Lonchura striata: one gene and its partners. The protein of the gene in region 2 interacts with the protein of the main gene of each other region in a biochemical or structural test. Links are inferred from orthologs where the notes say so. Each region holds a gene or a part of one and is shown on either strand. Other genes may lie near its edges.

Region 1 (7,104 bases), on a different chromosome or scaffold from region 2:
GTCAGGATTCCCTCCCTGACCTGCTGGCTCTTCCCAGGGTGCATTTCATGCATGAGGCTCTTCCAGAGCCACCTCAGTAGAGGTGAGAGCTGCTGCCCCTCAGGCACCAGGAAGGAGGGGATTGTCTGTCTGTACCTCCCCTGTTCTGTCCCAAAACCCAACACCTGTTTGCAGGTTTGATAATTAACCCAGAACTCCAGCACACTCTGTGACAGCTACCCTGCCTGCCCACAGTGATGCTGCTCCAGCTTCACCAGTCCTCCACTGCTCCCCAAAACCAGGGAATTCTCCCTGCTCAATTGATGACACCCCGAATAACTCCCAGTACCAGCTAAACAGCCTCAGTGGGGTTTAAGACACCTGACAAAACAGGATTTGTACAAGACAGGTGAGCCACAGCACTGAACCTCTCAGGGTTGTGACCACCAGCCCCTGAGGCGCTCTGTGGCCACAGAATAGCTCAGGATCCATGAGGGCTGGAGATCCATGGCACAATCTTGGTCATCACCCAGGAGATGCCTGGGAAGCGTCAGGGGTGGGAACCCGTGGTGTTCCACTGACCAGGGCGTTCAGCTCCCGGGGAGAACCTTGCCATGGCCATGTCCTTTTATCCTCACAGACAATAAATTTGTCCTCTGTTAAAGAGACAACACTTCCAGCCATGTGCCATTAAATAAAGAGCCTAGGGACTTTTAGCCTTTTTAAGCAGTTTACGCTATTTTAGCAAGCTGCTCCCTTGTGCACCTCCTGGGTTCTGTTTAACCAACAGCTCTCTGCTGACTCAACAGAAAATCAGAAGTCAAAACATTTTATAAATAATAAATGCTGAGTCCACTTTATTTGCTTTTTTTAACCTGTGGGGCTGATATTTTCCAAGTTGAAACATCAAAAACTATTTTAAAATTAAATGAAATCTGAGATTCTCATGTAGATCTGAGATTCTCTCATAATTCCCTGACAGCAGTTGATGAACACCTGAGGAAAAAACCAGTTTTACCAGACCGGTAACAAACTCCACAGCATCTGACAACATTTCCATGCTATTATTCAGCATATCTATGTAGAAAAAACACATATGTATGGAAACACAAATAGTACTTTAAAAAAAGAAACACCAAAGATACAATCTCTGTCTCAAGAAATCTGCAACACAAAGGCTCAGTCCTGTAAGATGTTGAGTGTGATAACTAAAGCCTTTACTCACTGCTTTATAAATCCAATTAACTTGATAAATATTACACACATAGTAAGACATCCCTACTGCCACAGCAGTCAGAACCCTATTTCTGTAATTTAACCCAGCCTTATATTGAAAATAGCCACATTTGCAGGGTCAAGACTGGATTTAGGAATGACATATCAGAGTTATGACAGGATTATCTCTGTGGATTTCCTTCTAAACACCTCATCTGCTACAAGCTGGGGAAGGAGTATGTTGTTTAGTAAAAAAACAGATTTCTAAACTAGCTTTCATAACACAAATATCTCAATATGGGGCTTGATCCAGTGCTGAAAGTCTGTGTGCCATGTAGAACCTCCTTAATGGCAAACATTTTACCTGTTCCATGGCTGCCTCTGCGTGCCAGGTATGAGTAACAACCCAGGAGCAGAAATTAGCTAATGAGGCCAATCTTTTTGTCACCTTTTTCTTGTCACCTGACTCTGACTTCCATCCCGGCACAGCCATGAGGAGGTGTGTTTGTGCAGAGCCAGCATCTGTCCCTCTGTTATTAACACTAATTATTAAACTAATCACTGTAGCTCCTTGCAGCAGCTAGCAGAAAGCAGAACTGTGGTGTTTGTGGTGGGTTCCATGGACATTTGCTTTTCTCACTTCCTTTGTTCTCAGGCTTGTTGGCTCCATGTGAACTGACATGGTAGATCATTCTATCTGCTCCTTGTCCCTGGTAAAACCATATCAATAAAATACCCAAATAAAAAACTGACCAAACACCCCAAAACACTTTTTATTTTTTCTTCGCCTTCAGTGATAGCAGATTTCCACTGGGTGACATGGAAGGAAATGCATTACTGTAGCAGTATGTTCTACAAAGTAATTGTAATTATGAAAAAAATGCCAAATACCCCCAGTTGGGGATCAGAACAGGGTCCCTGACCTCACCCCAGCTCAAGGCTCTCCCTCCAGCTACTTGTAAAAGAACTACAGAACTAAACGTAGCAAAAATGGATAAAGTAGAATATTTTCCTACTTGGATTGATTCTGTACTAGAATATCCCTGTATGGGCCATTCACCTTGCTCTTGGACTTGATGATCCTTGTGGGTCCCTTCCAACTTCAAATATTCTGTGAAATATATAAAGTGATTTGCATCTGTTGAGCAGTTCTTCATTGACTTATATGTTTTCAGTAAATTTTTCTGGAGTCAGAAGTCTTTTTTGTCTTCCCTTAAGGAGCATTAAGCAGCAAGGTTAAGTAAAGAAATCATTAAACAACTATATAATGATGAGTTATGAGAGGTTAATCTTAAATCTTTTGAATGTAGAGGGAATATTCAGAAATTCAAGGTAGAAATTGAAATAAATTGAAAGAATTTACCCAAAAGGTTTGAGCCTTCATTCACCTAACAAGAGTAGGGTTGGCTCAGAGTATGTCTGTACAGCAGCCAATGGAAAATGCATGTATTTTATTCTGTAAATAGGACAGTAATAGCTGTGTGTATCTAATAACGATAAGCTTGACTCGTGTGTTCTCACCCACATGGTCACCTGGAGACAGGACATGTACATATTCCAAAGATCAAAACGAAACATAGGCTCTGTTTAAGCCATGAAACAACGTGAAATGTTTTGGCAGCAGAGCCCTGTCCCTGCAATGTCGATAATTGACAGAGCTGTAAATCCCCAGGTCCTTCACTGCCCTTCCCAGCCCCTCACTTCTCCTCAGGTCCCTCTCGCTCCCCCTCAACCCCTCACATCCCCTCATGTCCCCTTGTGAAAAATGCCAATCACTTGGTTTAAAAAATATTAAAAGTTTAATAATAATAAAATGCTTATAAAAATAGCAATACAATTAGAGTAATAAAGTTTAGAGTTAGGACAATCACAAGACAATAAAAAGCAAAGAATTAACAGAGGTCTGGATGCTCTCAGACACTCAGTCATGACAAGCATCCCTTGTGAACAAAGGAATCACCCTTAAACCAATACACTTGTTGCATATTCATACATCATTCATGGTTATGCATACATTCTATTCTAAACAAAAAACTCTGTTGTATGTCAGCTGTTTCTTTTAATCCCCATGGTATCTCCGAGTCAGAGCAAGGCCTGAAGAAATTAGTTTCTTCTGATAAGAAGCCATAAATTTCTCTCCTTTGGAAGATTTAGGTGTTCCTCGAAGTGTGTATCTCATTCCTAAAAAAAAGAAAAAAAAAACCAACCTCCCCCCTTATACAGAGTCTTTATTTTTTAACTACTAAAGTCTTCATTTTAACTACAAAAGCACAACTAATCAATATAACATAATACATATAGTAACTATCTGCGTAGAGCCATGTAATACGCATTTTTCACACCCTCACGGTCTCTCACATCCCCTCATATCCCCTCATGTCCCCTCACATCCCCTCACGTCCCCTCACATTTCCTCACATCCCCTCACGGTCTCTCACATTCCCTCATGTCCCCTCACATCCCCTCACGGTGCCTCACATTCCCTCACATTCCCTCACATTCCCTCACGTCCCCTCACATTTCCTCACATCCCCTCACGGTCTCTCACATTCCCTCATGTCCCCCTCACATTTCCTCACATCCCCTCACGGTCCCTCACATCCCCTCATATCCCCTCATGTCCCCTCACATTCCCTCACATCCCTTCACATCCCCTCACATTCCCTCACATCCCTTCACATCCCCTCACATTCCCTCACATCCCCTCACGGTCCCGCCCCAGCCCGGGCGCGGGGAGCGCCCCCCCCGCCAGGCGGCGCAATGGTGCTGGCGGGCGGCCCGAGAGCGGGAGCCGCGATTGGTCCATGCGGCTGGGGCGTGGCTTCAAGGAACCCCGCCCAGCAAGGCGGTCGGGGGCGGGGCTCACGGCGCTGTTCTGGGCAGCCATTGGACGATCCCGGTCGGGGGCGGGGCCAGGGCAGCGCGCGAAGGCTCGAAGCGGTCCCCGGGCGGCGGGAGCGCGGGCGGGCCATGGCGGCGGTACCGGTAACAACGGAGGGTTCCGCTGAGGTGAGTCCTGCCGCTCCCCTACGTTCGGCATGGCCGGCCGGCTGCTGACGGCGGAGGCAGCTCGCGACTGCCTGAGGCCTTGCGCCTCATCGGGCTGTGGCGAGGTGGAAGGCCCGGGAGGGACAGCGAGGGAAGTGGCGATTCCAGTAACCGTTTCGGTACGGTGCTCTTTCGGGTAGCACTGCCGGTGGCGGAGTCAGTAGTCCCAGCCACCTCTGCCCGCCACCCGTGATCGCGGGCGATCCCGCGCCGTCACTGGGCTCGCCCTTCCTGGCAGACTACAGCTCCCGGCATGCCCCGTGCCCGCCCTGCCGGCCGCGGGGCACGCTGGGAAGGCCGCGCTCAGCCGGTCTCCAGGGGCGCGGTGCATGCCGGGAGGGCTGCGGGGCCCGCCGTGAGGGGTCTGAATAAAAATAAATAAATAATAAAATAACGAGTGAAAGTCTCCCGTGTGAATGCCATCACATCAGCCAATGTCAGTTCTGTGCTTTTGCTGTGTAAACTCCCACGTATACTACCTTATATGTAAATATGCTACCCCACATGTAAATAGTCACTTGTATTGATAAATATGGTAAATATCAATAATAACAATAAGTATTACTAAATATGTAAATAGCATAATCAGACTATACGGAGAGTGCATATGGATTTCCTTGTGTGTGAGGTTTTGGAATGAATTTGGATGGCAGCAGTCAGGACTACATAAACATTACGTTACCTCATTAAGAAATTTTTAATTTAAAAAATGGTATTTTGCTTTGTAGCTTCCACTGGCAGATCTGAACCCAGACTTGCAGAAACCCCTGGACAGCGACTCTGACAGTGGCCAGGGCAGCTGTGAGACAACCTCCCCAGGCCCCCTTGGCAAGAGCACAGCCTCCTTCGAGGACAGAGGTCCGTAACAGTTCCATGAATTGTTTTTCTCCAACTCTACAGTTTTTGTTTAGTAAATACCTTTTAGGAGATTGTCACTGCTTGACCTGTAGGAATCCAAATTCTTGTTGTTGCTCAGAATGTGGGTAGGCATCTTTAAACCTCTGAAGAGTGCTACAGAAAGAAAAATATTGAATGGGATGTGCCTTAATTACTGATTCACTTTTTTCCTTGTCTTGTTTAATCTATGTAGTGTGATTTTTTATTACTATTTCAAGGCAAGACACTACCAGTGAAGAGTTTTCAGCTTTTCTTTTTTTTTTTTTTGCTTTGCTTTTTTTTTTTTTTTTAAGGTTAGAAACTTTTAACATCAATTTGGGTTAATTAAATGCTGTTCTCTGGGGAGAAGTGGATTTTGGAAAGTTGAGTTTGAAGCATGAAAGATTTTTCACACTTCCATGAGAAGCTCATTTGCTGTGGATGGTGACATATGTCAAATTTAACGGATGTAAATTTGGTTATTTGTTAATTAACTTGTTGCACTTTCCTTTTTTATTTTCATGTGTTTCTCCAGATTCAGAAGAAGAAATTTTTGTGCGTAAAAAAGCAAAAAACCAGAAGGTGCTTCAGGACAGTGAGAGCGAAGAGGAGGAGGAGGATGGAGGCTCACCTGTGCAGGAAGATGCTGTGGGTGGAGACAAGGAAAATGGGGAGGAAAAGGAAAATATTGCTACTGAAAAGAATAAATCCCATCGGGTTCGCCCAGCTCTGCTGGACACTGATGACAGTGACACTGGTGACCCTTTGCAGATTGAAAACCTTGAAACAGGCAGGACATCTGGCTTGCCTGAGGGTGAGCTGGAAAAGGAGAGACCCCTAAAATCTGGGAAAAAGTACAGGAAGCATAAACACAAACACAGCATTGAAGAGGAGCCAGCAAAAGAAGCTGTAGCAAAACCCAGAAGGAGAAAGGAGAAGGAGAAAATAATGGAGTCCATTAAACAGCTGAAGAAAGAAAAGAAGCCTGTGGCAGAGGTGGGTGTTTTAGTACAAACCTTCAGATAACTTCTCAACTAAGTTAAATTTATTGTTGTTTGTGGTTATTCTGTTGCAAAGCTTCAGTGTTGTGTCCACATTCCTGCAGCAGGTTTGAGATCCACAGAACACCATACAAGTTTAACCTGCAAAGTCTGCAGGTTCATTTCAATTTAATTTGCAGTTTAAGGAAGTACAAAACCTAACACTTGATGATTTAATGTAATTTTAAATTAATGTCAAAGAACCAAAGGGACCTTCTGAAGGGAATCACAGGAATAATTTATTCTTCTGGAAGCAGGTGGATGGTGGTGAGAGGCCTCCCTTCAATGACAGTGGATGTCTGCTGGATGACAAGGACCTCTTTGATAATGGCTTGGAAGAGGAGAGTGATCAGCCCCTTGAGGATGAAGAGTCTCTAGAATCCATTCGAGCAGCTGTGAAAAAGAAAATAAAACAATACAAGGTAACAGTTGGCTGTGACACAAAAATTATTGTAAATGTTCTCTTTTTCAAACTGATAGAGAATAGGTTTAGATGAGATATTGGGAAGGAATTTTTCCCTGTGAGGGTGGGGAGGCCCCTGAATCCCTGGAATTGTCCAAGGCCAGGTTGGACAGGGCTTGGAGCACTCTGGGACAGTGGAAAATGTCCCCATGGCAGAGGTGGAAAGGGATGATCTTTAAGGTCTTTTGCAACACAAATCATTCCATGGTTACTGGATTTATCAGGAATTTGTAGCTGAGCAGGTTCTAAAACTCTGATGATGGAGGAGTTGTACTGCTGTGGCAGAAGAGAGGAGAGCCTTCTGGTTTTTGTTTTTAAAGATGGAGGGATGTTGTTCTGGCAAGTTAAAAAGATAATGCTGTAGCAGGAGCTTTGGAATCTGCCCTTGTGTGGGGTTTGTGCTGGTTTATGAGAACCTTGCTGGCTTTGCTGACCAGTGTTAGTTCTGTACAGTTATTTGTGATGTGTTTGCCCTTGATAGTG
Region 2 (7,337 bases):
TGGTATTTTTTAAAAACACTGTTTGCTCTCAATAGTAAAACCAGAAATTTTGTTTAATTACACTATCTTTTAAGTGCTGAAGTCCCACACTCAGAAGTACCTGAATCTATTTATAGTCATGCCTGACACTAATTTAAAGGTATTTGCAATACTGTCTTTTGAAGGCAATGGGAACACAAGCATTCTAAAATTTGATACCATAAATCTTCAAAAATAAAAAGTTGTTCAATTTTAAGTAAAGCAGCTCCAACATTTCAGTTTCCTTATCCACTTCTGCCCAAGAGATTGTAGTGGAAACAAAGCTAACTTAAGGATCACCAATTAAGTATTTCAGAACACAGCTACATGTAAGTAGATTTCTCATGTAAGGGAGAAAACGAAGGGATTTTTAAGGCTATTTACTTGAATCTACATCAAAAATTTTTAATTGCCAAAATTGGAATGCTGTTTTTTTAGCAAGGCTTTAATAGACCAGATTTTCAAGAAAATATCTTGAAAGTGTTCCTAATTAATACACCTATGTGCTCAGAAGCATATTAGAATTCCTAGAGACCATGTAATAAGTCAAGAAAAGGCATTTGGCTTAAATTGTGTATATTAGGATCTTAGATTTACACTTTTTAAGTTAGAAATGCCAAAAGAAATCTTAACTCCAAGCAAAATAAAATGAAACATTTACCTTCCCCAATTTTTTCCTTTATTTTAAACACATTTACAAGCTGTGGCACTGCTTCATAAAGTTTTTCAATATCTTTTTTTACTCCTGCTGTGGGAAGAATGGGGAAAATAAGTTAGGAATTTTATTACTTGATTCAATATCTGATCTATTCTGGAGATCACAAATTACATTTCATAGGACTGTGGACTCACATACACAAAGGAAAAAACAGCACAAAGGTTTTCCATCCTGTTAACATTACCATGTGGACACTTGGTATTGCTGTTCTTCATCACACTTCTTTCTAAGCTGCAGCATTTACACATTTTTACTTATCTGACAGCAGACTCCAAGAGGGCAAAAGCTGCCTGGTTCCTAGGATACCCACACCTCATCACTAAATGTTTACATAGGATTTGCAAGGGCAATTGACAAAAGGCAAAACTGTAACAGTTGATTCTGTAGCAGAAGTGTAAATCCATCATATGCAAATCACAAATGCAGAAAAAGCAGTATTTTTTAGATATTTTAAAAATTGGTAATGCCATCTTTCCCACTGTTAGTTAAAATAGTTGGCACCAAAGCCCATGTTTGCTCTGCATCTTGGCTGCTGCACTTCGTGCTGTAATCACTAGATGGCACGACAAGGATGTATTATTTCAAGAAAATGATGTAGTTTTCCATTCAGTTTACAAATCCTTGTTGTTCAAGCCTTTTCTGTACCCCACAGAAGAATTCACTTCTTTTGAAGCTATAAATTGTGTAGAAGCTGTGACTAATTTCTGTGAAGCCAGGGGTAAAGAATATTTTAGTATACAGAACAAAGCACAAAAAGGTATTTGTGAAAAGTCAATCAAATGTGTATACATTTTTCATCCTAAAAATAAATAACAGATTAAATTGAGCATAAACAGATAAATTGTAATGTATTATATATGTAAAAATGGACCATGTTTCACCAAGGCAGTAAATCATAAGCAATAAGATTTTTTTTTTTTTAATCACAGATATGCTGGAATCAAAGCATATATTAACATGCATCCCTAGCCTTCTATGTAGCTTACTTTAAACAATAACAAAAACTGCCTGAAGAACACTTTCTTCCTGCTAAAAACCCAATAAATCAGCTAGTAATTCAAGTCATAGTTAACTTTCAATTTAATTTTTTTTTATTTCAAGATTTTATAAAAACTAACATACTAAAAATGCTTCTGACAACTGAAACCTGCTGCCTCACTTAACTATCCGTTTACATTCCTTTTTTACCCTTTATGTTGTTCTCTCTGCCTCTTCAAATTGTTTTAAGACATTTTGTGAAATATTTCAGGAATGAAAAAATCCTGAGTATATCCTAACAACCATGGAGAACTAACTCAACAACTGCTTTAGAATCTGCCAGATACTCCATTTTGTCCAACACTGAATTCAGATTCCTCCCTGGAGAAAGTTAAAGCTGTCAGACCGTTTCAAGCAGGGTGGCAGAGGCTGCAGTGCCTACTCAAGGCACTGACAGCATTTAGGAGCTCAACAGAGCTGGTTTGTGTGAAAGAGAGAAGTGCTGGAAAAAGTCAGTGATTGTCCTTGTTGAAGGACAGCAGTGTAAACATCACCTGATCTGTTCCAGGGTCCTGAATCCTCAGCTGGGTACAGAGAACATAAAGTCATTGTGCCATCAGAGAAATAATATTAATAATATTAGCCAGCATTTTCTATGACCAGATTTTAAAGTGATTTCTTCTCCTATTTGCAAAGCAATACAAACACTGTTCAGCATCAATCTGGGCATGGATATGCAGGAGTCTAAGAGAGGATTATGTATTTTAAAAAAATCAGAAGCCATTATATCTATGAACTGGCTGACCATCAGGGATTCCTGAGCAAGCATTGTACAGAAAGTGGAGACTCAGGTACACAAAGAGACTCAGAAACAACCAACAAAACCTCTTTCAGTTCAACTTCTACAAGAAAAACAAGAGTGTTTTTATAGATATAAACATATCTATTGAAGCATAAGGCTGGTGATTATAGGTTAAAAGGCAAAATACTGGGTTTGTGCACTTGTCTGGTCAGTTTTATTCTCAAGGGCTGCCTTTTTTTCATTCTGGTATCCTCTTATAATAACATGTTCTGTAATATATTAATAGTAGGTTTAGCAAAATCTTATACAGAAAGGCTTATAATCAATACTGACATTTCCCCAAGTGATGAAGCAGCATATCGGCAACAAAATGCAATGTTCACAATCCCTATTTCAGCACATACCTGAAACCTTGCTGCTCTGCTCAAGATTCCCGTGGAATTCTTCAGCCTGCTGAGGGTGCTGTTCATCACAGGGAGACTTCAACACCGTCTCCATCACAAAACAAGTCTCAAGTGAAAAAAAATACAAGACTTCGAGGGCCACTTCTGGACACCTGGGGGAGCAAGCATATCTGGTAAGACACTTCCTAGCCCTGCAGTCAGTTCCTGAGATGAGATTTAGGGGAGTCTGAGGAGTTCCTCTGTGCAAACTAAAAGAAAGTGTACCCACCATCCAAGTGAAACAGTAAACCAGTAAAGCAATGAGGATGGGGGTGGGAAGGAAGACTGCAGGATACGCTTAAATACAACTGATTTTCATCTCTCATGTTTCCTCATTCACATTAAACATTGTCTTTTCCCTAAAGTTTGCTTTGAAAGGCTGATGTACACAGAAATAGCTGCACTGCACACTGCAAAAGCTATAGAAAGTCAGAAAGATTGAAAGAAAGTATAAGAGAAAAAAATATCTTCTCCATAAGAGAGATCTCTCCCTCCTAGATAAATTCAACAAAATATAATTGTTCATTGCCCTCCCACCACAAGAAAAATAGAACATGCTTATTTTGAAATGCTTCTTCCCAAATCTTGGAAACACCACATAAAACTATGAACTAGTGAAGTCCACTAAAACTGTACAATCCAAAAAAAAAAAAAAAAAAAACCAACAAAAAAACCCCCACAAAACCAAAAAAACCTGATAATTGTTTTTCAGGAGCAAAAGAGTGGCAGGGACTTCCAGGGCAGAACAACCAGTGATAAATGAGCCTGGAAGCAGCAGCTCTTAACAGTTACTCAAAACTAGTTCTATTCAAAAGCCTTCCCTCCTTGTCAGTATGCTAAACCTTTATAGATCTGGATGAACTTTTCCACGTGGGGGAAACAAATTCTGAAAAACTCCTGATGCAAGGATTCATCTGTTTCAGCTATGGAGCCAGAAATACATTTTGTCCCCAAAGAATTTGAGCTGCCTTTACGCTGTCATCCTTGTGTAACAACAGGGACAAGAGGCAGGAGCCGTCTTTCTCGAGCCCCGTTTTTTGCGGGAGGTTTGGTGGAGAGGGACTTGGACAGCGCTGGAACGCGACTGGAGCCGGTGCTGATCTCTCACAGGCAGGCACTCCCGCTGCTAGGGTGAGGAGGCAGATCAGATACCCCTGTTCCGAGCGGGCAGCACCATGGCCCCAGCAGCAGCACAAGGGCTGCACACACTGATACAGAACAGCCGCCGGCTACAGGCGAGCCAGAGCCGTCCCGCAGCCAAAGCCCCGTGCGCGCTGCTGGTGTCACCAGGGCCACACAGAGCGGCAACGCGCCGAGCCCGCCACTGCCCCTACGGGACAGCGCCCGCCAGCGGGGCCCCGGCCCAAGCGCACACCGCGGCCTTCCCCGGCGGCCCGGGGCTCACGGGCTACAGACGGGCCCTGCGGCTCCCGCGTGGAGCCGTCACTCGGCTCCACCCCGGCCGGGCGGGCAGCCGCCGCTGGGGGTTGGCGGGCACTGAGGGGCGGAGGGCGCGCGGAGCGGGGACCCCCAGAGGAGCGGGCCGGGCCGGGCCGGGCCCCGGGGCGGCATGAGGGAGAGGGAGGGGAAGGAGCGGGGACACGCGCGCGCGGACGGGCACTCACGCGGGCACCGGCGCGCGCCGGGGTTTTGCTTTTTGCTGCCGCCGCCGCCTTTCGCGCCCGCGCGCCGCCGCCAATCCCGGCCCTCGGCGGAAGCGGCGGCCCCGGCCAATGGCGGCGCCGGGCGGGGAAGGGCGCGCTGCCATTGGCTGGAGCGGCGGGGCCCGCGCGCAGCGGCGCGGGGCGCGGCCTGTGCCGCCGGGACTGCCCCGCGCGGGACTGCCCCGCCCGCCGCGCTCCGGGCCCCACGGTGGTGTTCGTCCCTTAGACTTCGTGTCCTACGTGTGGTTGTTGCGAAACAGCCCAAGCCCCCGGTAAATTCTTGCGCTATAAATCTAGTCAAACGTCCCAGAGGCCAAGGAATGGCTCCACCTACGCCATTGTAACGGGGGAACGGCTTGGCTTGCAGCTCTGCCGTACTGCCTGAATACACAACAAAAAGGATCGCACAGAATTCAACATTAAATTTCCGTCTTGGCTCCGGTCAGGGCTGTAGCTGCTGTCCAGCAATGAGTAGGATTTGGAAGAACTATTGAAACTATTCAGTGTAAGGTTACCTGATGTTTGGAGTAGTTGGATTTTATTGAAACTAATGCAGTTGTATGTTTGTAAATGAAATAATTTAGCACTTCTTGTCTATTACCCATTTTTGGTCAATATTTCTTCTTTTTTTAAAGACAAAATAATATTACTGTTGTTGAAGAGTAGCTCCACTGCACTTGATAATGCATAAATCTCTTGTTCACTAGAATATGAACCAAAATAATCTTGTTTATTGAATATTTCAGGCAGAGATCTGTAAACGCAGCCCTTGGTAAATAACAGCTAAGCCTGGGGTTGTCAAAGTTTGCAAGGGTTCTAGCTTGGCTTTACCTGCTATAAAGCTGTACTTGGGTTAACAAATTGTCAAATGCAGAAACAGGGTCTACCACTTTTGTTAAGTTGTGCTTCCTATTATACATTTTAGAAGGAGGACGTTGAGATGAGCAGGTTTTGGTTTGATGTGTGGGTTCTTCTTTTCTAAGAGTTGTTCTCATTTGCACTTTCTGTTTAGGGCTCTAAGAAGTCAGTACTGCACCTTGAGATTTAGTGAAGTGTGCCAGCTCAATAATTTCAGTTAAGTGTGACTGTATTTAAAAGCAGATTATACCAAACATTAATAAAATGAGGTATAATGACAAAATAAAGGAGGCCAAATTCTGTTTGTTCTTATATCCACTTACAGAAGTTCAGAGGGCATCATAAGCTTTCATGAGTGCAGGTTTGTCCTAGTGCTTATGACAAGCAACATCATTCTAAATTAACCTCTTGGGACAATCTTACCTACAGCCATTTCTGAATACTGTTGAACCAGGAATTCTATTTGCCAGTTAATACTTGCAAAATAGCTGCTGATTATTTACAGGTTGCATACTTAGCTCTGCTGCCTCCTGGCCAGGTCAAAGTTTAATCCAACTTCCTTGGCCTCCCTGCCTTGGAGTTGCCCTCATGTGGAATACCAAATCACCTCCCTTTCTGTACAGCTCCTGTTATAGGCACTTCTCTGTCAGTCATACTCGGACCAGCTTCCTCCTCATCACTTCAGTTGCACTTTCACACAGCAAGAAATCTGCTTTCTTTATATCTTCTTATCAAGACCCTGTCTAGCTGTGGTTTCTTTCCCTGCAATGTCTCAATTTATCTTGGTTTCAACACCTAAAATTATTTTCATTTAGACCCAGGTAATTTATCTAGCTTGATCATTAGCTCCTCTCAATTTTCTCCTTTCTTATTGATTCAAATATGTTGTGCTCTCTCATGTCATCCTTCTAGTGATTCTGGTTCTCTATCATATCAAAATGTTTTTTTTGTTCCCATGAGCATAACTGGCCTTTATACTATAATCTCATACTGTTTCTTAATTTATTGCTCCACTCTTTTTAGCCTACCAGAAATTCCAGCCTTGATGCTTGCCTTCATTTATGTCTTTTTACCTTCTTCTTTCTCCTCTGTTTAAGGAGGAAGTTAAGTCAAATTGGATATTACTCTTCTTATATCTTCTCAAAAGTTACCTCTTAATCAATTTTTTTCTCCATGTACATCTTCACAGGAGAGAAATCAATTATATGTGCCATTTCCACTCTTATTTTCTCAGTACTTGCTTAAGTACCTTATTTAGCTTATTTTGCTCTATTTTGATTGATTATAGAAAAAGTAAAGCTTCTGCTCTGCATCTGCACAGCTTCTGTGCCTTTGCTGTAACATCAGACACTCTCTTTGCTGTTGGCTTGGATAAGCAGAAACTCCTTGTTCACTCGTGGGGCAGAGAAGGCTCCATCTTCTCATTCAACACTGAGCATCCAGCTCCAACCCTGCACCACAGCAGGAACTGCTCAGAAGGAAAGAGAAGAAATTGCATCAACTAAAAATGACAAAGTAGCACATCTAATGCTCTGTGAGCCAAACTGCTGCACTGCCTTCTCTTGTGGCTTTATCTCTAGGTTGGAAATGAAGGATGAGAAGCCAAATGACAAGCCAGGCCCATGCAGAATGTCCCCTCTGGCTGACAAGCAGTCGCCAAAACCCACATCTGGGAGCTCGCCAAGAAAGGATCCAAACATTGCTGTGTGATTGCATCCACTGCTGCCAGAATCTGCTGCTGAATCAAACTTTTCCTGTCTGCCGACAGGCCTAAAGGAATCTGTGCTGACACTAGAGCACATCTATTAACCACTTGCTAGGTCGATTAAACTAGAAGCCTCCCTGTTTGTGCCATC
Region 3 (6,988 bases), on a different chromosome or scaffold from region 2:
CAGGAGAGTTTGGACAAGGTGGCATTGCAAGGGCTGAACAAGGTGGCATTGCTAGGGTGAACTGTGCAGGGCCAGGAATTGCACTTGATGCCCTTGTGGATCCTTTCCAACTCAGCATATCTGCTAAAGAGGATCAAGGTGCAAACCACTTCCAAGTGATTTAAGCCACTGTTTGACCCAACTCTCTGGTGGTCAGCTGCCAGATTTCACCTTCCAGAGACCCAGCCAAACAAGGTGAGAGGGCTGAAGCCCCAGAAGACCCACCTGAAAGTGCCTGAAGTGTAGCCCCCTTTCTTCCCTGGCAGGCAGCGGTATGTCCCCACCACCTGGATGCGGTCCCCAGGCTTCACCCTGTCCACCAGGTCATCGTCCAGAACCACATCCACCGAGCGTGGCAGCTGCCCCGCCGGGGCCTTCTCAGGCATCTCCTGGATGGTGATGGTCTGGTGGTCCTTGTAGACCGAGAGGCCAAACTCTGTCTCCAGTGGGTTGTTCTCTTCATCCTAAAGCAGGAAGCCAAATGAAAAGATGAGCACCATTTTTCAGAAGAGCAGGGAGGACACAGGGTGCATCACCCACTCTGCACAAGGCTGCTGGAAAGGGTTGTTTAGCAGGACTGGAGGCTGGGGATCACCAGCTCCATATTGAAGCTGGCACATCCTCCCTAGAGGAACCTGCTGCTGCTTCACCTCACCTTTGTAGGGTAGATGGAGCTGGATGGGAAAGCATCCAGGGAGGTCATGTCTGCGTATCGGCGCTCAATTGTTTTCTTGGTAGCTGGGCAATAATGGACACTGCGGACAACTTTCGGACGCACCAGAGAGCCTGGGGTTGGAAAAGAGAGGAGTTAGGGGCTGGGATGTCCCACCCCTCTGTCAGCAGGCAGCCCCCAAACGGGTCTCCAACATTAAGATTACTTGGGTCACAACTCACTGTCAAATATGGGCAGGACTGGCTGATTTTAAAGACCACCCCAACATTCAAGACCTTCAGCCAAGCTCCCTGGCCCAGGCTGCCAGGATACAGAATCATAGGATGGTTTGGACTGGAAGGAATATTAAAGATCATCCAGTTTCATTCCCTGCCATGGGCAAACACACCTCCCACTATCCCAATCAGCCTAGCCTTGGATACTTCCAGGGATTCAGGGGCAGCCACAGCTTCTCTGCACAACCTGTGCCAGGGCCTCCTCCTGCTCACAGCCAAGAATTCCTCCCCAGTATCCCATTTAATCCTACCCTCTGTCAGAGTAAAACCATTGCCCCTTGTCCTGTCCCTCCAGATCCTTATCCCAAGTCCCTCTCCACACCACAGCTCCTGGAGGTCTCCAGCTCCTCCACAGCAAACCCCCAGCCCCTCCACACCCCAGTCTCACACTTTGTCACGATGCCCTCCACGCAGACGATGCAGCTGAGGAAGCAGGCTGTCAGTGTCCGTGGGGACACGTGCTTGGAGCCAAAGCTGCCCTCCAGCCCGATGTAGAAGTCCTCGTACTGCTTGGCATAGGTGGCATCGACAGAGGCGACAAAATCCTTCAGGGCACGCTGGAAGGCGATCAGCTCCTCGAAGGCATTGCTCAGGAGCCTGCAGCACAGGGAGGTCACAAAGCAGGTGGGTCAACCCCTTCCTCATCAGCACTTTTTCCCCACTCCCCCACTTGCTCGACAAGTTTTCCAGGAGCAGGAGGTGAAAAAACATGAAATCCATCACAACTCTGTGCAAGGTGCACTGGCACCAACAGCAAATAGGAGAAAGATTCCAAGAATATCTGAAAAGCCAGATTGACCAGGCTAGTCCAATATATTCTTGAGCATCCTCAAAAGGGCTGAGAGAAGTGGGGTTGGTCAGCCTGGAGAAGACCTTAGAGCCCCTTTCAGTGCCTAAAGGGACTCCAAGACAGCTGGACAGGGATTTGGGACAAAGGAATGGAAGGAGAGGACAAGGGGTAATGGCTTCATGCTTCCAGAGGGAAGGAATAGATGGGATATTGAAAAGGAATTGTTCCTTGTGAGGCTGGGGAAACCCTGGCTTTCACCAGAGGACAAGGTCTGGTGCTTTCTTGTGACAAATGACCTGCAGAACCAGGGCTGGACCTCTGAAACACCTCACAAGCACAGTGTCCCAGCTGCCCCACACCCACCTGCTGGCTCTCTTCTCGTTCTTGCGCCGCAGGTCGTTGATGTTGACGATGAGCCGATACTGGTTGTCACTGATCATGTCCCGGACCTTGCTCTGGTAAATCCCTTGGTCTTCCTACAAGTGGGAGTGGAGTGAAACACACCCAAAAATCAACTCACTTTGCATGTCCGCCTGTGTGAAAAACCCCTCAGAAGCCCATTCCTGCAGAGCTGGATCCCCTTCATCCCACCGGCAAGCAGGAAGGGGCAACACAGGGACCAGGTGCTCCCTAAAGCCGGTAGCAATGGGGGGACACAGGAACCAGGGGCTCCCAACCCCCTGGGGTACATGGCGGGGAGGATCAGGTAGCTCCCAGTTCCCGGGGGCATGGATCAGGGGCGACGGACGGGAACAGCGACCAGGTGTTCCCCAACTTCGGGAGTAGACATGGGGCGGGGGCAAACAGGGATGAGATGCTCCCCAATCCCCGGGGATACAGGGAGAAGGGGACATGGGGACACGGATCAGGTGTTCCCCAACCCCGGGGGCATGCAGGGGACGCAGCACCCGCGCCTCCCAGCTCGTCTCACCTCATCGTCCAGGAAATCGAGGTAATCGCGCTGCGCCTCCCGCAGCTCCGCATCCTCCAGCCCGCCCGCCGGCGCCGCCATTCTGCCGGCCGCCCTGGGACGGATCCCTCCGCCGCTGCCGGGGAAGGCAGTGAGCGCCGAGGGGAGCCGGGGGAAGCCGAGAGGAGCCGAGAGGAGCCGGGGGAAGCCGGGGGAAGCCGAGAGGAGCCGAGAGGAGACGGGGGAAGCCGGGTTGGCCCCGCGATGCGATCCGGCCCCGGCGATCCGCCCCCGCCGCGCTCCCGTTTCGCGCCAAACGCGGCTCCTTTCCCGCCACCGCGCGGGAAACCCGCCCCCGTCCCGCCCCTTGGCGCTGCTGATTGGTCGGCATCTCCCACCGCTAGCCAATGGGGTGGCGAAACAGTGATAGACAGTACGCTTAGCTTATCAACGCGCGGGGGCGGGGCAGGGGGCGGGGCCAGGGGTACCGGGGATGGGGTTTGATCCCGGCTCCGGCTCTTGGAAGTCGCCGAGGGACTGAAAATGCCGCTTTAGGAGGAAAAAAAAAAATTAAAAAGCAAACACGAAAACAACAAACCCACCCAGATATAATCTCAAACCAAGAAAAGTCCAATAAAAACTAATTAAAAACTAATTTAGGATTTTGTTTTTTATGTTGTATTTTGGTGAGCTCTGTTTCCGGGTGTTTTCAACCCCTACAGGCTGGGTGGGTGTTGCTTTTTCCTTTAACGTGGCCCCGGTGTGCCTCCAGCAGTCTGGGGATAAACACCCAAAATGGACAGGTCTTGTGGTATTTGGAATGGAAAAGACGATTTTGGATGTGTCTTAGAATCTCAGAATTTTTGGGGTTGGAAGGGACCTTAAAGTGCAAATTATTCCAAACCCCTGCCGTGGGCAGGGACACCTTCCACTATCCCAAGCTGATCCAAGCCCCGTCCAACCTGGCCTTGGACACTTCCAGAGGCAGCCACAGCTTCTCTGGGCACCCTGTGCCAGGGCCTCCCCACCCTCACAGGGAAGGATTTTCTTCCCCAATATTCCACTTAACCCTGGCCTCTGGCAAGTTAAAAACCAGTCTCCCTTGTCCTATCACTATCTGCTTGTGTAAAAACTCCCTTTCCCTCTTTTTTCCAAGCCTCCTTTAAATCTCCTAAGAGGAGTGAGGAATTCCTATTGTAGGCAGGAATCAAAGGTGCCTCTGCCTACAGGGAAACCTGCAGCTCCTCCTTAAAATAACCACTGCAGTATCCCTTAAAAATCTTTATCTAAACTCCTCTTTAAAAACAGGAAAAGAATAAAAAGCATGACAAAACTGTTTTGATCAGCAAGGCATACCAGGCACACAAACTTGGCGGTGTCCCCTGGATATTGTGGCTCACAGCAGTTTTTCCAGAGTAATCCTGGGAATAAATATTCACCCCGGGGTGTGCTGGGCTGAGGCACAGAATTCCCGCTGCCAGATCCCTCCTCTCCAGAGGGAGCAGCTGCGATCGATCGGTGTTTCAGAAGAGGAGCAGGAAACAGCCTTTGCCCCGTTTCCCATTTTCTGTTTGTGTGGATCAGATCACTCACTGGAAACGTCTGGCAACTCTGGTCTGGGATACGTGCAGTCCACGTCCAGGGTATTTGTCTTGTTCCTGAGAGATTTTTTTTATTTTTTTTTTTTTTAATTTTTTTTTTTTTTCCACAAAGTTCAGACCTCCTTTTTAGACCTTTTAGCCCTGCTCTGGAATAATTTGTTGCAGTATTCAGTTTGGCAGAAATAAAGGATTTTATGCTCTGCTGCTGTTTTCTTCCTTGTCCCCTTTTCTTCTTTTATTTTTCCTTTCCCTTTTTATTTCAATTTATTTTCTTTTTCCTTTCCATTTTTCTTTTTTTTTTATTTTTTTTTAATCTTCCAGGTTGCCCTGCTAGCTCCAGATATGTTCCCTGCGGCTGGAATATTTTCCCTGTTTCTGCACACTCAGCAGGACCCATTTCCCTCCAGCTCCTCCTCAAATCCACCCCTTCCCTCTGATTTGCTGGACATTTCTTGTTTTCCTGAGTGGAGAAAGCACAAAGAATGAACAGAGAAAACCTTTGGCGTGCCCCTGGCACTTTCTATTTCTATTATTTCTTTTTCTATTTCTATTTCTATTTCTTTATATTATTTCTATCTCTATCTATTTCTATTTCTACTTTATATTTTACTTTTTTTTTAATGGGCAAATCATCTGCTGAGAATCTAAACTGGCTGGAGGAATCTGTGTAAGCCCATAAAGGAAATGTGATTTATCCCATATAAACTGCCAGAATCCACTGCAAGATTTCCCCTCTAAGACGCTTTTTCTCCCTCTGCAGCAGGCAGAATATTAAATCCAGCAATGGACAGTCTGCATGCTCTGCTGCAGATAAAATATGGGTGGAAAAAATAAAATATGGGTGCAAAGCACCCCGTGAGTAGAGCACAGAGCGGGTACCAGGGTGGGATTCAGGCACATCTATGCAGAATACACAAGATCTCACCCACATTTGGATGGTCAAAACGAATCCCAGCCTGCAGAGACGTGGATGGCTGCACTTTTCCTCCTGCCAGGAGCTGGCAGGGCCCCACCGCTCCTGCCTGAAAGGTAACAGGAGTTAGGGATAAAAATAGCCGCTGTTGTTATTCATGACAGCGCCCTGCCCTATAGCAACTGCTGCGTGCCTGAATAATTCATGGAGCAGGGCAGGCCGAGGAGGACAGAGGGATGGAGAGAGGGGGAGAAGGCTGGGAAGAAGCAAGAAGCCTTCCCTGGCTTTTGGGACTCCCCAGGATTGTGCCCAAGGTCCCCCTGGGTTCACCTCCCTGCTGCATTCCGGAGGTTACAGGGTGGAAAGGCAGCGCAAGCTCACAGGGACGTTTAGCACTTCCTATCCACTGGAAAAAATAAACAGGAATTAAGCACTTAGCACGCAGAGGGCCAGGTCTGGAGGGCTTGCAGAGAAACAGAAAGCTCAAGGGTGGATGCAGGAGCATCCATGGGTGAATTGCACACGGAGCACTTTAAGGGATTTTCCCATCCCTTCCTCACACCTCTGTGTGTCAGCATCCACATGACTCGGTTTCTGAGGTTTAATGGTACCCTGTGATCCTTCTGAGATTCTGGGACGTTGTGGGGTTTTGTTTTTGCTGCTGTTGTTTTTAGTTTGTTTGTTGGGTTTTTTTTCCTCTTAGTTTAACTAAATGTCACTTTTCAAGCCACAGCTCAACTATCAAGTTGCCATCTATTCGCTTTCCTTGTAGGAAGTGAGTAGCCTTGCCTCACCCATGAAGGGCAGGAGAGAGGCTTGTGGTTCATTTGTAGCTCCAAAAATGGGAGGAGAATATCCCAAATTTGATGGAGTGTCACCTGATCATCAAGCAACACACTGGAGTGGAAGCTGCAAATCTATTTGTTATAAATAGAAAGATAATAACACAGAATGCAATGTTTGGAATGGAAAAAAGTCACTTTTTAGAACTGAAATTATGTGGAGAAGGGAGACCACCTATGAGATGTCTTTATCAGGGTAAATTTTGCATTTTCCAAGGGATTAAAGGGATTTATATTTACTGGGCTCTCCTGAAGCTACAGTTGCAGGAGCTGAACCCTAACCGGGGCATGAATTCTCTCTCAAAAGCAGAGTGTTGTCCTGACTCTCCTCACAAATAATTTAATGCTGAAGGGGCCCTTCTTAATCTTCTCTCCTGACCTTTTCCCTTACATAGGCTGGAGAATTTCACCCCTTTGCATCTTCACCCAGCTCAGGCATTTCTGACATAATTTTCTTTAAATATTTGCTATTCCCACACACTCTGGTAAATCTTTAAACGGTTCTAGCTCTTGGGTTTTTTTCCTAATTGTGGAGAAGAAAACATGGAAAACTACTATCAGGGTGTGTAAATAGAATTTCTTTACTGAAAGGCACAGGGAGCTGCTGGTATCTGACCAGGAGAGCACAGGAAAGTGGGTAAGGAGTTAAAGCTCTGACCTTCAGTGTGTTTGGATGGGCTGTAACCACCTTCTTTCTTCCCAGAGTAGGAGCCCAGAGCATATGGATCTGTTTTTCCTCCCAGATGCCTCTAGCATGCTCCTAACACAGTGATGGGAACATAAAATCTTGTGATCCTGCTCCTGATGTACAGCTACCCCAGATCCCGTGGGTGTTCATTCTGTTTTCCTGCTGTGCAGGAGGAAAATACAGCAATTAATAGAAAACCAAAACAAACCCACACAGGCCCTGCCTGCGGGCATAAGGACAACTGAATTTCAAATAAA

The links.
Region 1: of the proteins of CDC7 (region 2) and CLSPN, one has a biochemical effect on the other in vitro, tested with the Homo sapiens proteins (3 studies listed by BioGRID, with this or other methods). The link is inferred for Lonchura striata from reciprocal best matches to the Homo sapiens genes CDC7 and CLSPN.
Region 3: the proteins of CDC7 (region 2) and MCM3 form a complex in vitro, tested with the Homo sapiens proteins (2 studies listed by BioGRID and IntAct, with this or other methods). The link is inferred for Lonchura striata from reciprocal best matches to the Homo sapiens genes CDC7 and MCM3.

Annotation. Positions count from the first base shown.
Region 1 is NC_134628.1:3,986,466-3,993,569, reverse strand, and holds the start of CLSPN (claspin), read left to right. Parts: upstream 1-4,094; 5' UTR 4,095-4,164; coding exon 4,165-4,203; intron 4,204-4,970; coding exon 4,971-5,100; intron 5,101-5,653; coding exon 5,654-6,114; intron 6,115-6,415; coding exon 6,416-6,580; intron 6,581-7,104.
Region 2 is NC_134611.1:20,213,748-20,221,084, reverse strand, and holds the start of CDC7 (cell division cycle 7-related protein kinase), read right to left. Parts: upstream 3,015-7,337; coding exon 2,921-3,014; exon of another isoform or gene 2,914-2,920; intron 767-2,913; coding exon 680-766; intron 1-679. UniProt on the Homo sapiens protein: Kinase involved in initiation of DNA replication. Phosphorylates critical substrates that regulate the G1/S phase transition and initiation of DNA replication, such as MCM proteins and CLASPIN.
Region 3 is NC_134605.1:110,349,675-110,356,662, forward strand, and holds the start of MCM3 (DNA replication licensing factor MCM3), read right to left. Parts: upstream 3,011-6,988; 5' UTR 2,790-3,010; coding exon 2,709-2,789; intron 2,254-2,708; coding exon 2,141-2,253; intron 1,585-2,140; coding exon 1,376-1,584; intron 826-1,375; coding exon 695-825; intron 504-694; coding exon 265-503; intron 1-264. UniProt on the Homo sapiens protein: Acts as a component of the MCM2-7 complex (MCM complex) which is the replicative helicase essential for 'once per cell cycle' DNA replication initiation and elongation in eukaryotic cells.